3 linked regions of the Coturnix japonica genome follow. The protein of the gene in region 2 interacts with the protein of the main gene of each other region in a biochemical or structural test. Links are inferred from orthologs where the notes say so. Each region holds a gene or a part of one and is shown on either strand. Other genes may lie near its edges.

Region 1 (4,016 bases), on a different chromosome or scaffold from region 2:
AAAGGGAAAAGCTGGCACAACCAAAGTGCAGCACTTCTGCTGGAAACATGGGACAGATTTGGGTGCACACGGGCTCAGCGCCTCCGTTTCCATTTCACTTCCCCACCCCTGCTGCTCTGCGTGATGCAGACCTGCCTTATCCACACCTCCTGCTTTTAACCCTGCGCTGCTCCTATTGATTCCTGACAGAGTAACAACCCACTACTCGGTTCCCTCTTTGCTTTTCTGTAAGCTACAAGAGACCAAACACTGCACGTTCTGTGCACCTACAGCTTCAACTGAGTATTTCCCAAGTAACCCATTTTAGATTTAAAACATACAAGATACCTTCAAGAGCATGCAGCAAGGAAATGGTAAAGGCAGAAGCAGCAGGTTTCCTTAAGTCTTGCAAGCATAAGCTCCTAGTGAGATGTTAATTTTAGGTTTTAATACTATTAAACATTCTAAATTTAGATTCTAACAAATATATCCTCCAGAAGGAAAAGTAAGAATCAGCAATCTGGTAAACAAAATGTCACCACCAGAAAGGCACCGACTGCCACACATCTCCATCACAACCAGAAACACACAGAGGGAAGAGGAAAGAAAGAAGGAAGAAAACTGAGAGCAGAGCAAATTCTGTAAGGCTGCAGCTTGGCAACCTGCTGGGAAGCACCAGGGAGGAGCTGGGCAGTCTGGTGGTGAGGCTGGGCAAGAGCACCCACTAAATACACGACACCAGCCGTGAAGACAACACAGGGCCGTGCAGGTGACCAGGAGAACTGGAAGCTCTGCTTTACTTCAGGAATTCAGGTCTGTAGGAGCACTGTGCCCTCAGTCACAGCGTGTTGCTTTTGCCTTTCACAACGCTCTATCCGACTACTGTTGGGAAAGTATAAAGGAGAATAGTAAACAAGATGTTATCTCGGGTCATGTCAAATGCTGCATCAGGACACGATGCAAGGAAGATCCACGCAATGTCTGCCTGTAGCATTAAGTAACATCCTTTTCAATGTTATTTAGTTAATATCAGTTTTCTCTTAGCAATTCATTTGCCTATAGCATTTTAGTAAGATCATGGAGCTTCCCAACCATAACGTAGCAGAACTATTTGAGGGACAGAGGGGACTTACACAGGAGAGCAGACAGGAGCAGAGACAAGTCCTGCTACGGCTGGTTTTCAGGTCAGTGCTTTGGGATGACAACAGAGAAAAGCACAGTGACAAGGACACTACATCAGCAGGTCAGATGGTGAATGGTGAATCAGATGGGTTAGAGCTCATGCCCTGCAGGATGCCCCAAGATCGAGCATAGGGTTTTGTCTGAAAACACGTACCCAGAAATACTCTGTCTGGTACAGGCTGAAGCCATCCACCAAAGCAAAGTGAGAACCCGCTCCACATCCCTGCAGAGCAATGAGCATGGAGCAGCCAGTCATCTCCAGCCAGACTCCCGGCTCCCTCTGGCGGGGTGTGAGCAGCAGCGGCTCCCCCGGCCTTGCTGTCTGCAAACCACAGCTCATCCAGCTTTTACACAAAGAGTTTACTCCCTTCGAAAGGGCTGACAATAGCAGGACACGGGGAAATGGTTTTAAGTTAAAAGAGGGAAGATTTAGGTTGGATGTTAGGGGGAAGTTCTTTACTAGGAGAGTGGTTAGGCCCTGGAACAGGTTGCCCAGGGAGGTTGTGGATGCCCCATCCTTGGAGGTGTTCAAGACCAGGTTGGACGGGGCCCTGGGCAACCTGATCTAGTAAAGGTGTATGTTTGGTGGCCCCCTGCCAGGCAGGGGGTTGGAACTACATGATCCTTGAGCTCCCTTCCAACCCGGGACATTCTGTGATTCTGTGAGGCCATTCCTCATTAAGTTGCATTTAAATGCTCCCATCTTTTTGAGTCGTTTTGGGTTTTGTGTTCAGATGTCAGTAAGTTGTGCCCACTGCCATGGAGCTGTGCATGGAGCTGTGCATGGAGCTGTACACGGAGCTGTACACGGAGCTGTACATGGAGCTGTGCATGGAGCTGTACATGGAGCTGCTGCATGGAGCTGTACATGGAGCTTGTACATGGAGCTGTACATGGAGCTGTGCATGGGAGCTGTACCATGCGAGCTGTGCATGAGCGTGCACGGAGCTGTGGCACGGAAGCTGTGCAACGGAGCTGTACATGGAGCTGTGTACGGAGGTGTGCATGGAGCTGTACATGGAGCTGTGCATGGAGCTGTGCATGGAGCTGTACATGGAGCTGTGCATGGAGCTGTACACGGAGCTGTGCATGGAGCTGTGCATGGAGCTGTACATGGAGCTGTACATGGAGCTGTACATGGAGCTGTACACGGAGCTGTGCACGGAGCTGTACATGGAGCTGTACATGGAGCTGTACACGGAGCTGTGCATGGAGCTGTGCATGGAGCTGTACACGGAGCTGTGCATGGAGCTGTACATGGAGCTGTACACGGAGCTGTGTCACACCCTGTCGGTGCCCCCTCCCCAGCACAGCTCCATGCCGTTCCCTCGGGCCCTGTCGCTGTCACACCGAGCTGAGCTCAGCGCTGCCCATCTGCTCCCTATGAGCTGCAGCTGCCACGAGGCCTCCGCTCAGCTCCTGTGCTCTGGGCCGAGCCCCCCCACCCCCACCCCAAACACGCTCAGCCCCACACCCAGCCGTCCCCATAGTCCCCAGCCCCGCCCCGCTACTCACGTTTATACTCGGCCATCAGCCTCTTTAACGCCGTACCCGCCATAGCGCGGCCCGCAGCGCCCCGGCCCCGCGCCGCTTCCGGGCGGGCTGGAGGGGAGGAAGTAGATAGGGGGCGCGCTAGCACTCCGCCTCTATGGTAAAGGGGGGGGGGGGGGGGCTGAGTCCTCCCAGCGCATGCGCAGTAGCACCAGCGAGTTGTGGGCGGGCCCTCTCAGCCCAGCTGCTCTGCTCACCCCACCCCCCCCCTTCCATTCAGGACACTTCTCGTTTGTGCATTAAAAAAGTATATTTCAGACAACTTTATCAAATCATGACAAAGCACATGTCAATCTGCAATCTTCCAAACTGTCTATACGGAGCATTGCGTCTCGCACGTACAGACCTCGTGTCGTGGGCTTCACGTTTCCCAGCGACTTCAATCAGCGTCTTCTTCCTCCTCTTTTAAAACAATGAGACTCATTAAGCTTGAGATCGGCATGAAAATAGACTTATTTACAAGGGTAGGATGGAACAGAGGGGCAGGGCTGACAGCCAGGAATGCACTCCATGTCCTCAAACACGGACAGGGTTATTTAGGCCACAGGTTTGAAAGGGAATAAACCAGGAAACAGCAGACAGACAGACAACGTGTAGCACTGAATCGGAACTCAAAAATCAACTGGGCCCAATTAAAGATAAGAGATGAATCCCTGCAGATACTGTGTCGACTTGCACACGCAGTACGTCAAAGACAACAAGCGATTTTGGGTAAATGTCCTCTAAGGTTTCCGAGAATCCCGTGTGATCGGCGTGTTCATTTGTTCACTATTTGATAGCAAATCCAAGGACAGATGAGAGCGAGGTGCGATGAGGAGCCTCTGTGCTCCAAAGGATGCCATGTCTTAGCACAGCCCGCCCGTCTGCTGCTGGAACACATCGATAGTGTCTTCGTCTTCCATCTCCAGCTGTGAGGGTGATACGGAGAACACGAGTTCACAACCATAAACTTATAATAGAGTTACACAGGTTTTGAGATCTCTATTTCAAAGCAGACTCAGAACCCAGCCATCTAAAAGCAACCAACTCAGATGTGTTTCTTCTGTTCCTCACCTCAGGCCTCGTCAATGCAAGAAAACCCTTAAATTCTGAGCGCTGACTGAGCTGGCAGCAGCTACAGCACCCAGCTTTAGTCCTGGCTGTATCCAGACATGGGACAGAGCTGAAGAGCTCAGCACTCCCTCCAGGTCCTGCCCACAGCAGCACACAGGTGCCAGTGTGTTTGGCACCATCTGTTCATGCACATCTCCCACCCCAGCCAGCATAAAACACATATGGAAGAGACTGAAGAAGAAGCACAAAAT
Region 2 (3,526 bases):
TTTAATGGTCCCTTCCAACTCAAATGATTCCATTTAAAATAAATAAATAAATAAATTTCAAAAACCTCTCTGCCTCTTCATGTGACAGAGGTCTTCTGACTGACTTGGAAATAAATAGCTGTCAAGGGCTGTTGGAGATGGAGAATGCTGTCGCAGTCTTCAGATTGAATTACTTATGCATGGGAATGTGTACTTAAATTTCAATGTGAAAATCCCTATTTATAAAATGAATTATTGATTGGCTTTGGTTTATGGTGCCCTGATCTAACTTGAAGTGACTCTTCTTATTTAACCTGTTCTTTTCTTGAGTTTAAGCTTTCCACTGTTCTGAAAGGTCCTTGTGTCCATTTGGGTTGTGCTCTGGTGATGTCTGCAAAGCAGATGTAGAGATAACTCTGTATTCTCATTATCTGTGTCTTTCCATATCAGTCGTTGTGTAGCAAACTTGCGTCCTCTGTTAGACTCTGGAACCATGGGAACAAAAGGACATACAGAAGTTGTTGTGCCTCATCTCACAGAGTCGTATAATAGTCACGTAAGTAGTTCATGGCTATCAACTTCTGCAGCTAGTCCCCTAAAGCTCCCTTCAAAGTAAGAATGCAAGCTGATTTTGTGTTTGTGGTTTTCTTTCTTTGAGCTATTTTCTGCCTGTTTGTTCTGTTTTTGGTGATTACCATCTCCAAAGGCAGGCAGGAGAAACGCGAGTCTCAGTAGCAGGCATTAGTCTGCATGTTTGTACAAAGATACGTATCAGCTCTTTGTAAATGGAGGAAGTTAACCTCAAACTCTTGCAGTTTTCCACGACTTGGGTTCCTATGAAGGTTGTGCCATTTGCCATGTAGTGCTGATGTTGACAATCGTTACAGCTTTACTATAGTTGATGGAAAAATGTTTCTGGCTTTGCGAGATAGGGTGGTTTTTACCTTGCAAGTGTGCATAAGTGTGAGCTGCACACCCTGGATAAACTGGCTGGCAATTACTTCTGCTGCTTGTACATTAGGGTTGAGTTTTACTTTCTGTGTTCAGATTCTTCTTTGTAAAACAAAATTTGTTTTATGCTTCTTTGTTTAGGCTTAAAAAAAGCTTCCTTGTATTTTGTAATAGTGGTGTGGGAAAGTTGCGTAGTCTTTAAGTTCTTGGTCCTGTGATTGATAACCAACTTTAAGTCTGCCCTTACATACAATTCCCCTTAAATATAGCGGGATCCACCAGAAGAGGAAATACCTTTTTGCACCTTGAAGTCTTTCCCAGCTGCCATTGAACATACAATACAGTGGGCAAGAGATAAGGTAAGGAAATAAGTTTACATGCTTTTGAAATGACTGTTTATTTGAAAAGGTGAGGTATTTGAGGTACTTAGTGTTCAATGCCCTATTGTTCTTTGTATTTTCTAGTTTGAAAGTTTGTTTTCTCACAAGCCTTCATTGTTCAACAAGTTTTGGCAGACCTATCCATCTGCAGAAGAAGTTTTACAGGTAGGAGAATGTTGCCTGGATATAACAGAGTTTGAACTAATGCTTTAAGGATTTTGTTTCCATTTATGTTAAGTACGGTTTGGTTTGTTTGCTGACATTGTTCAGATTTTCTGAAGGCTTATTTAGCCAAGGCATTTGTTGATGTTTCATGGGATCTTACTGCTGTTAGTAAGAGCTTGTCTTGTGTGTGGCCTGTTTCTCTAGCTCAGGGATTCTGTCTGTGATACAGGAATTAAAACCTGAGGGATTGTTAGCAAGAACAGTCAGTGTCATACAGATGTGCAGACAGCTGGGAAAAAATGAAGATGTACTTCTGAGTGAACTTGACTACCTAATAGATTAAACACTTATCTGCCTTTCTCTATGATGGCTATTGGTCATTCAGGCAAGGTGGAAGTAGAACAAGTAGACAACAGCTCTGTGGAAAACTCGGAGGGAAGGGATCACACGAAGGTTAATGTTCACAAAGCAACCTGCCATGTCCTTTTACCTGCAACTCAATAAGATCTGTTAGACTTTTACGTCTAACCTTTTTAAATATTCATTTATTTCCTTCTGTTTCTAGAGGATAAAATCAGGGGAGAGTTTAGAAGGCTGCTTTCATGTTATTAAAACACTCAGCAGAAGACCCCGAAATTGGACTCAGTGTGTGGAACTAGCAAGAGTAAAGTTTGAGAAGTATTTTAGCCACAAGGTAGGTAGCCAGGCTGTGGAAGTGGGGCACCTGTGGACTGACAGGGATGTGGTATCCCTGAATAAATAGTTTTCCAAGTCTTTGCACTTGTTTCCTTCTCCATTAATAACAAGCTTTGCTTCAAATCTAAATCTGCTGCAAAACTCTTCTTACTGTAGAGTTTTTTTGGAGGAGTTTTTTTCTTTTTAGACTGCTCTGTTAACATCCTAATAGCTCTATAATACCTCTCTTTATCTCCCACTAAACTTTGTGTTACTCAGCTCTTCGTATTTGTATCCTTGATTTTTCTTAAAGCTATCACAGAAAGATTGACTGAAATATGGGCCAGGCATTATTCAAGTGTGATCCACAGTGTTGCTTCAAATGTGTTTGGGGGAGGATGGGAGGAATTCTGTGATAAAGAAGTGTATATTAGTAAACATACCACATCTGTGTTGTGATGACAGTTATTAGGTTTTGAAAATGTTGCTTTCCCAGTTATGAATTTGTATTCCAGAATCCTGTAGGTGTAATAAGGTTGGGGAAACACTCTGCTTATTGTATTTAGTATTCTGCTTGGAGCTGGGACTGGTGAAATCCCATCTACCATCTCACACGTGGTGACAGTGTCATCTTCATCCCATGGATGATTAAATCATTCTGTCTACATGTACTTGTGTCTTTAAGCTCTCTGTCCTGATTCAGGTACCTTAGGTTTTCTTAACTCTTTAAATGACTTGTGGTTAACACTGGAGAGCCTTGAAAGATGTATAAAGATTTCATGTTATTACTAAAAAGGGGTTTTTTGATTCTGTGATGTTGTGTCGGTCTGACAAACTGCTAAAGCCACTCTGTCTTTCTTTCTAGGCTCTTCAACTTCTTCATTCATTTCCTCTTGATACACGATTAAAAGATGGAAGTAAGTACAAATACCTCTGTGTGCCTCCTGTGAATTCACGGCACGTATCATGTGTTGCTGTTCTAGGACTTCATCTTAAGTCTGTCTTCTAACCAGGTTTGTTCTGGCAGTCACCAAAGAGGCCGCCTTTCCCAGTGAAGTTTGATTTTAATGATCCTTTGTAAGTATTACTCTGCATTTTAAAATACCCTGTGAAGCTACCCCATTGTAGAGCCAGTAGCATTATAGCACTGCAAGTTGGACTGATATTTGATGGGTATTAATGTAATGGGTACTTATACAGTGTCAGACTGTGTGAACCATCTTAAACTTTCACTGCCGGTAATTTAACCCTAACTAACATGAAATCAGAGGGGGTGCTATGGGAAGTTCTGACAATATCTGTCTAGCATGAGAAAGGTTAGAACAACACTTTCTGTTTACTGTGTCTTGACTGCAGGGGTTAAGAAAACAGTTAAT
Region 3 (4,233 bases), on a different chromosome or scaffold from region 2:
AGAGAAGCAAATTAAAGCTTTATTTTCTATAACATCTCAAAAACCAAACGAACCAACTGCTAGGAAACAGAAACAATAAACCCTGCTGCTATTCCATATTAAACTATTTGATTATACCCACTTAAAGAGGACACAATGAAAGCAAAGCTGGCAGCCACATCAGGAACTAAACTCACTTAGGAGCCCATGCGAGGCTGCTTCTCCTTCTTGCTGATAGAGCTCCCTTTTCTTTTCTGCATGGCAGATCCATTGGTGGCTTTGCTTTCACTCTGGTTTGTTTTCTCCTCCAAAGCCTCCAAAGAAATAAGAAGTAACAGCTGTGAATCATTTAGTTTTAGGAGCCATTAGCACTGCTGTGCTAAGTCCTGTCTGAGCATGAGGCACAGCAGAATGTGCACTTAGGAACAGAGCTGAGGCGGAATGAAGGTTGAGTATCTTGGGGTTCTATCAGTCCTGCTCAACCTACAGACCTCCTGGGAGAGCACTGCAATTCAATGCCTCATTTACATGGAGGGAGCAATTGTTGCTGCCCCACACCACCTCTTCTCCCCCTCTGTGGCCATGGAAGGGGAATTAGATGAGGAATATTCACACAGCTGCAACAGGAAGGCCCATTTCTTACCCTCTTCTGTTGGCTCGCGTACTTCTCAGTCCACTCTTTGGCATTTATTAAGAACTGCTGCTTGTTGTACTTGTACTCCGAGGACTAAAAGAGAAAGATTTGACTTTAGTATTAACAGACTGAACACTGGGGGGTTATTAACTCCTCTTGCAGCCCTGGCAGAAGGATTCCTGATCCCAGACCCAAACTGCTACACACATGTCACTCAACACCATTCTGTTGCTCGCTTGAGTTTGCTTGAGCAAAGGCAACGCTCCACCCCACACCCACAGCCCCTGAAGCCTTAAAGGAGCCCACATACTATGTCTGCCATGAGGGGGTCATCAGGGTTGGGCTCTGCCATCAGCAGCTGTATGGAGGTCAGTAGTGTGGAGATGTTGAGGGAAGGCCTCCATGTGCCCTGCAGGAGGAGAGGGGGAGAGAAGCAGCTGAGAGGAAGACCATTAGGATGCCTGGAGGAAGCTCGGAGCACTCAGAGCCCCATAGAAAACACACAGGCTGAGGCCTCTCAGAGGGAACTGATGGAACCACAGGCTGTGCCGGCCCATTTTCAGAGGGCTGCCTTCCCACCGCAATCCTTAAAGCCTTGGAAGCTTATACAGAGCAAAGAAGGTCATGTTCTAATCCCTAAACAAAGGAGAGGCCACACAAAAACTCCACAGCCGCTCTCCTGTGTAAATAAGTCAGTAGCAAAGAGACATTCAATCAGGCTTTTACAAGAAAAAGATAAGGAGCTCATTATCCTCCTCAGGCTCATTTACTGTGCCCAAGCAGCGCTATCTTACCTTTGGTGGTAACTTAAGAACATCCAGACAAATCCTTCCAGCAGAGTCGATGTTAGGATGATAAATAGGGGTCAGAAAGCGAATCTTTGGGGGCTCAAACGGGTACCTTGAAGAGATCAGCATTAAGAAACACAGCATGATATTCATACCCCAGTTATGCCATTAATCCTTCCATACAGCAGGTATCGAAGTGACATCCCATCATCACACATCCAACACATGGAATCCATTCAGCCAGGGATAACAATTACAGGGGGGGGGAGGCTGAAGGAAAGACCTCACATCAATGCATTCACTTGGCATTAGAGAGAATCATTACTCACTCACCTTTCAGGCACAACCACCTCCAGGTCGAATATCCCTTTCTCATAGGGTGTCTCTGGAGCTCCTATGATCTCTTTGCAAACAAACAATATCACAAGCATAAATACTGCATTCAGAATGATAGGAATTCAGCCAACCATCCCATCTATAACACTCTGTAACACTCCTTACAGCTAGAGAGGACCCCCCCCATATCCAACCCCACTGCACAGCGTGTACCAACCCAATGCAATGCCCCATCCCCCCCCAAAGCCCCCCACCAACCCCAACACCTACGTGCCCGCAGCTCGTCCATTCTCTCTCCATTCTGCCAGCAGCTGATACCGGGCGGCGGCTCCGTGCTCAGCAATGCCAGCTCCCTGCTCAGCCGGGATGCTCTCTGCATGCTGCGGGTATGAGGCTGCCCTTAAGGAACCATAGGAAGGGCTGGGTTGGGACATGGCCTTAAGGGCCCCCCCATAGGGCAGGGCATCCCCCCCCCCATAGGGCAGGGCATCCCCCCCCCCATAGGGCAGGGCATCCACCCCCCCATTGGCAGGGCATCCACCCCCCCATAGGGCAGGGCATCCACCCCCCCATAGGGCAGGGCATCCACCCCCCCATAGGGCAGGGCATCCACCCCCATACGGCAGGACCTCCCCCCATAGGGCAGGGACCTCCCCTCCCTCATAGGGGCAGGGACCGCCCCCCCCCCCCATAGGGATCAATGGGACCCCCCCCCCATAGGGCAGGGCATCCCCCCATAGGGCCAGGGCCCCCCCCCCATAGGGCAGGGCCCTTATGCCTCCCCACTCACTTCAATGGGGGCCTGTTGACTTCAACCCCATAGATATATATATATACCAGGGCCTACCTCAGTGACCGCACCCCCCCCCCAGTAAGCCCTGCCCCCCCTTCCAAGCTGGCCCCCCCCCCTTAGTCCTCTCTCCCCCCCAGCCCCGCCGCCCACCCAGCAACGGGAGGAGACGCTGCCCTCTAGCCCCGCCCCCTAGCGAATATACGAGCGCTGATTGGACGCCGCTCAGCTCCTCCCACCCAGCGGCGGCATTTCGAATCCGAAAGGGGCGGCGCGCGCTGATTGGCTGAGATCAGCTGGCGGGAAATAAGCCACGCCCCCATCCCAGTGGCGGGGAAAGCGCGCCATGTGGGCGTGGCTTACGGAGACTCCGCCCACAACCGGGGGGCTCCGGAACGGGATGGGATGGGATGGGGTCAGAGGGGGTTAGAGGGGTTGGATGGAGTTAAAGGGGGTTGGATGGGGTTAGAGGGGGTTGGATGGGGTTAGAGGGGTTAGAGGGGCCGGGCCCTGTCCCACCCCGCCCCCCGCCTCCATGGGAGCTCAGCAGGGCGGGCACAGCTCTACCGGCCCCCCGTGTCCCCCCCCCGCAGTGTGTTGCATAAGCGGCCCCGTTGCCTAAAGTCGAGTCGCTCTTCGTGTCACCCCAGGGCACAGCGGGGCCCGAGGAGGAGGAGGAGGGAGGTGAGCAGGGCTCCGGAGCGGGGAAGTAACGCGGTGTAACCGGGGGCGGTGCATTGGTTCCATGGGGTGACAGCAGCCCCAGGTCCTCAGACACAACGTTTTTATGGCTTCATGTGCGTACAGCACCAAAGGAAACGCAGTTCTGTAGCTGTGAAGTCGCTCTGTCAGCGCGTGTGACTGAGAGCTCTTTGCAGCTGTTGGAATAGCCGCGATAATAAATAGGAGGCATTACTTTCGGAGCAGCCAATGGGGTGTAGAAACGCGATTCGATGGGGGGGGGATATCAGCCCTCTAAAAAGCTCCCAGGAAGGAGAACACGATCAGCAATAACGTCTCGGTGATCCCTATTGGGTCCCTTCCAGCTTAGGGTTATTCTATAGTAATTAGTGATGTGTGTTTAATTGGTGGTTTTGCTCTTCTGGCCGTGAGAGGGCAATATATGAGCAATAATCGCTGCACAAACACGTGAGTTTCCCAACCCATCCCATCATACCAGCTCCACATTCCTCAGCACAACATCCCCACCTTCCTGGAGCCCCTGCAGGGATGGTGATCCCATTGGGCAGCCCATAACAGCACCAGGTCCCTACACCCTCCCCACACCCTACCAGGGTAGGGAGGAATTTCTCCTTATACCCACCCCAAACCTGAAGTTGGGGCCGTGGTGCTCAGCACAGCCCTTGCAGACACCCTGCTCTGTGCTTTGCACGTCATTCTCTGCCCCACGTGCCGGCTGGGCGCACCCCAGGCATTGGCACTCTGCTTTTCCTGTTCTTCCATGGCATGCAGTCGGTGCTGGGCTCCTTCCTGGTGTGCACCGTGAGCTCCTCAGTGCCTGTGAGTTGGTGGCTGTGGGTCTATGGGGTGCTCAGTGGGCTGTTACAGCTGTGGGGGCTTTGGGGTGGTGGGCACTGTGTGGGGTTGGCAGAGCTGCGTCACCACCGTGGCTGTTTAGGAGGGCGTAGGTTTAGGTTAGAGGTAATTGCTTCATCCTGTGCTCATCCATTGCCTCATGGTTCTAT

What was found.
Region 1: the proteins of UBA6 (region 2) and UBE2G2 form a complex in vitro, tested with the Homo sapiens proteins (2 studies listed by BioGRID, with this or other methods). The link is inferred for Coturnix japonica from reciprocal best matches to the Homo sapiens genes UBA6 and UBE2G2.
Region 3: the proteins of UBA6 (region 2) and UBE2T form a complex in vitro, tested with the Homo sapiens proteins (2 studies listed by BioGRID, with this or other methods). The link is inferred for Coturnix japonica from reciprocal best matches to the Homo sapiens genes UBA6 and UBE2T.

What each region holds. Positions count from the first base shown.
Region 1 is NC_029524.1:3,986,458-3,990,473, reverse strand, and holds the start of UBE2G2 (ubiquitin-conjugating enzyme E2 G2), read right to left. Parts: upstream 2,802-4,016; 5' UTR 2,720-2,801; coding exon 2,677-2,719; intron 1-2,676. Other genes in the region: small ubiquitin-related modifier 3, read right to left, coding at 3,558-3,620. UniProt on the Homo sapiens protein: Accepts ubiquitin from the E1 complex and catalyzes its covalent attachment to other proteins. In vitro catalyzes 'Lys-48'-linked polyubiquitination. Involved in endoplasmic reticulum-associated degradation (ERAD).
Region 2 is NC_029519.1:46,073,945-46,077,470, reverse strand, and holds part of UBA6 (ubiquitin-like modifier-activating enzyme 6), read left to right. Parts: intron 1-429; coding exon 430-535; intron 536-1,199; coding exon 1,200-1,289; intron 1,290-1,394; coding exon 1,395-1,475; intron 1,476-2,040; coding exon 2,041-2,169; intron 2,170-3,015; coding exon 3,016-3,067; intron 3,068-3,163; coding exon 3,164-3,227; intron 3,228-3,526. UniProt on the Homo sapiens protein: Activates ubiquitin by first adenylating its C-terminal glycine residue with ATP, and thereafter linking this residue to the side chain of a cysteine residue in E1, yielding a ubiquitin-E1 thioester and free AMP.
Region 3 is NC_029541.1:1,472,066-1,476,298, reverse strand, and holds UBE2T (ubiquitin-conjugating enzyme E2 T), read right to left. Parts: upstream 2,801-4,233; 5' UTR 2,681-2,800; intron 2,560-2,680; exon of another isoform or gene 2,528-2,559; intron 2,137-2,527; 5' UTR 2,117-2,136; coding exon 2,008-2,116; intron 1,805-2,007; coding exon 1,735-1,804; intron 1,514-1,734; coding exon 1,408-1,513; intron 1,023-1,407; coding exon 924-1,022; intron 731-923; exon of another isoform or gene 707-730; coding exon 623-706; exon of another isoform or gene 294-622; coding exon 177-293; 3' UTR 4-176; downstream 1-3. UniProt on the Homo sapiens protein: Accepts ubiquitin from the E1 complex and catalyzes its covalent attachment to other proteins. Catalyzes monoubiquitination. Involved in mitomycin-C (MMC)-induced DNA repair.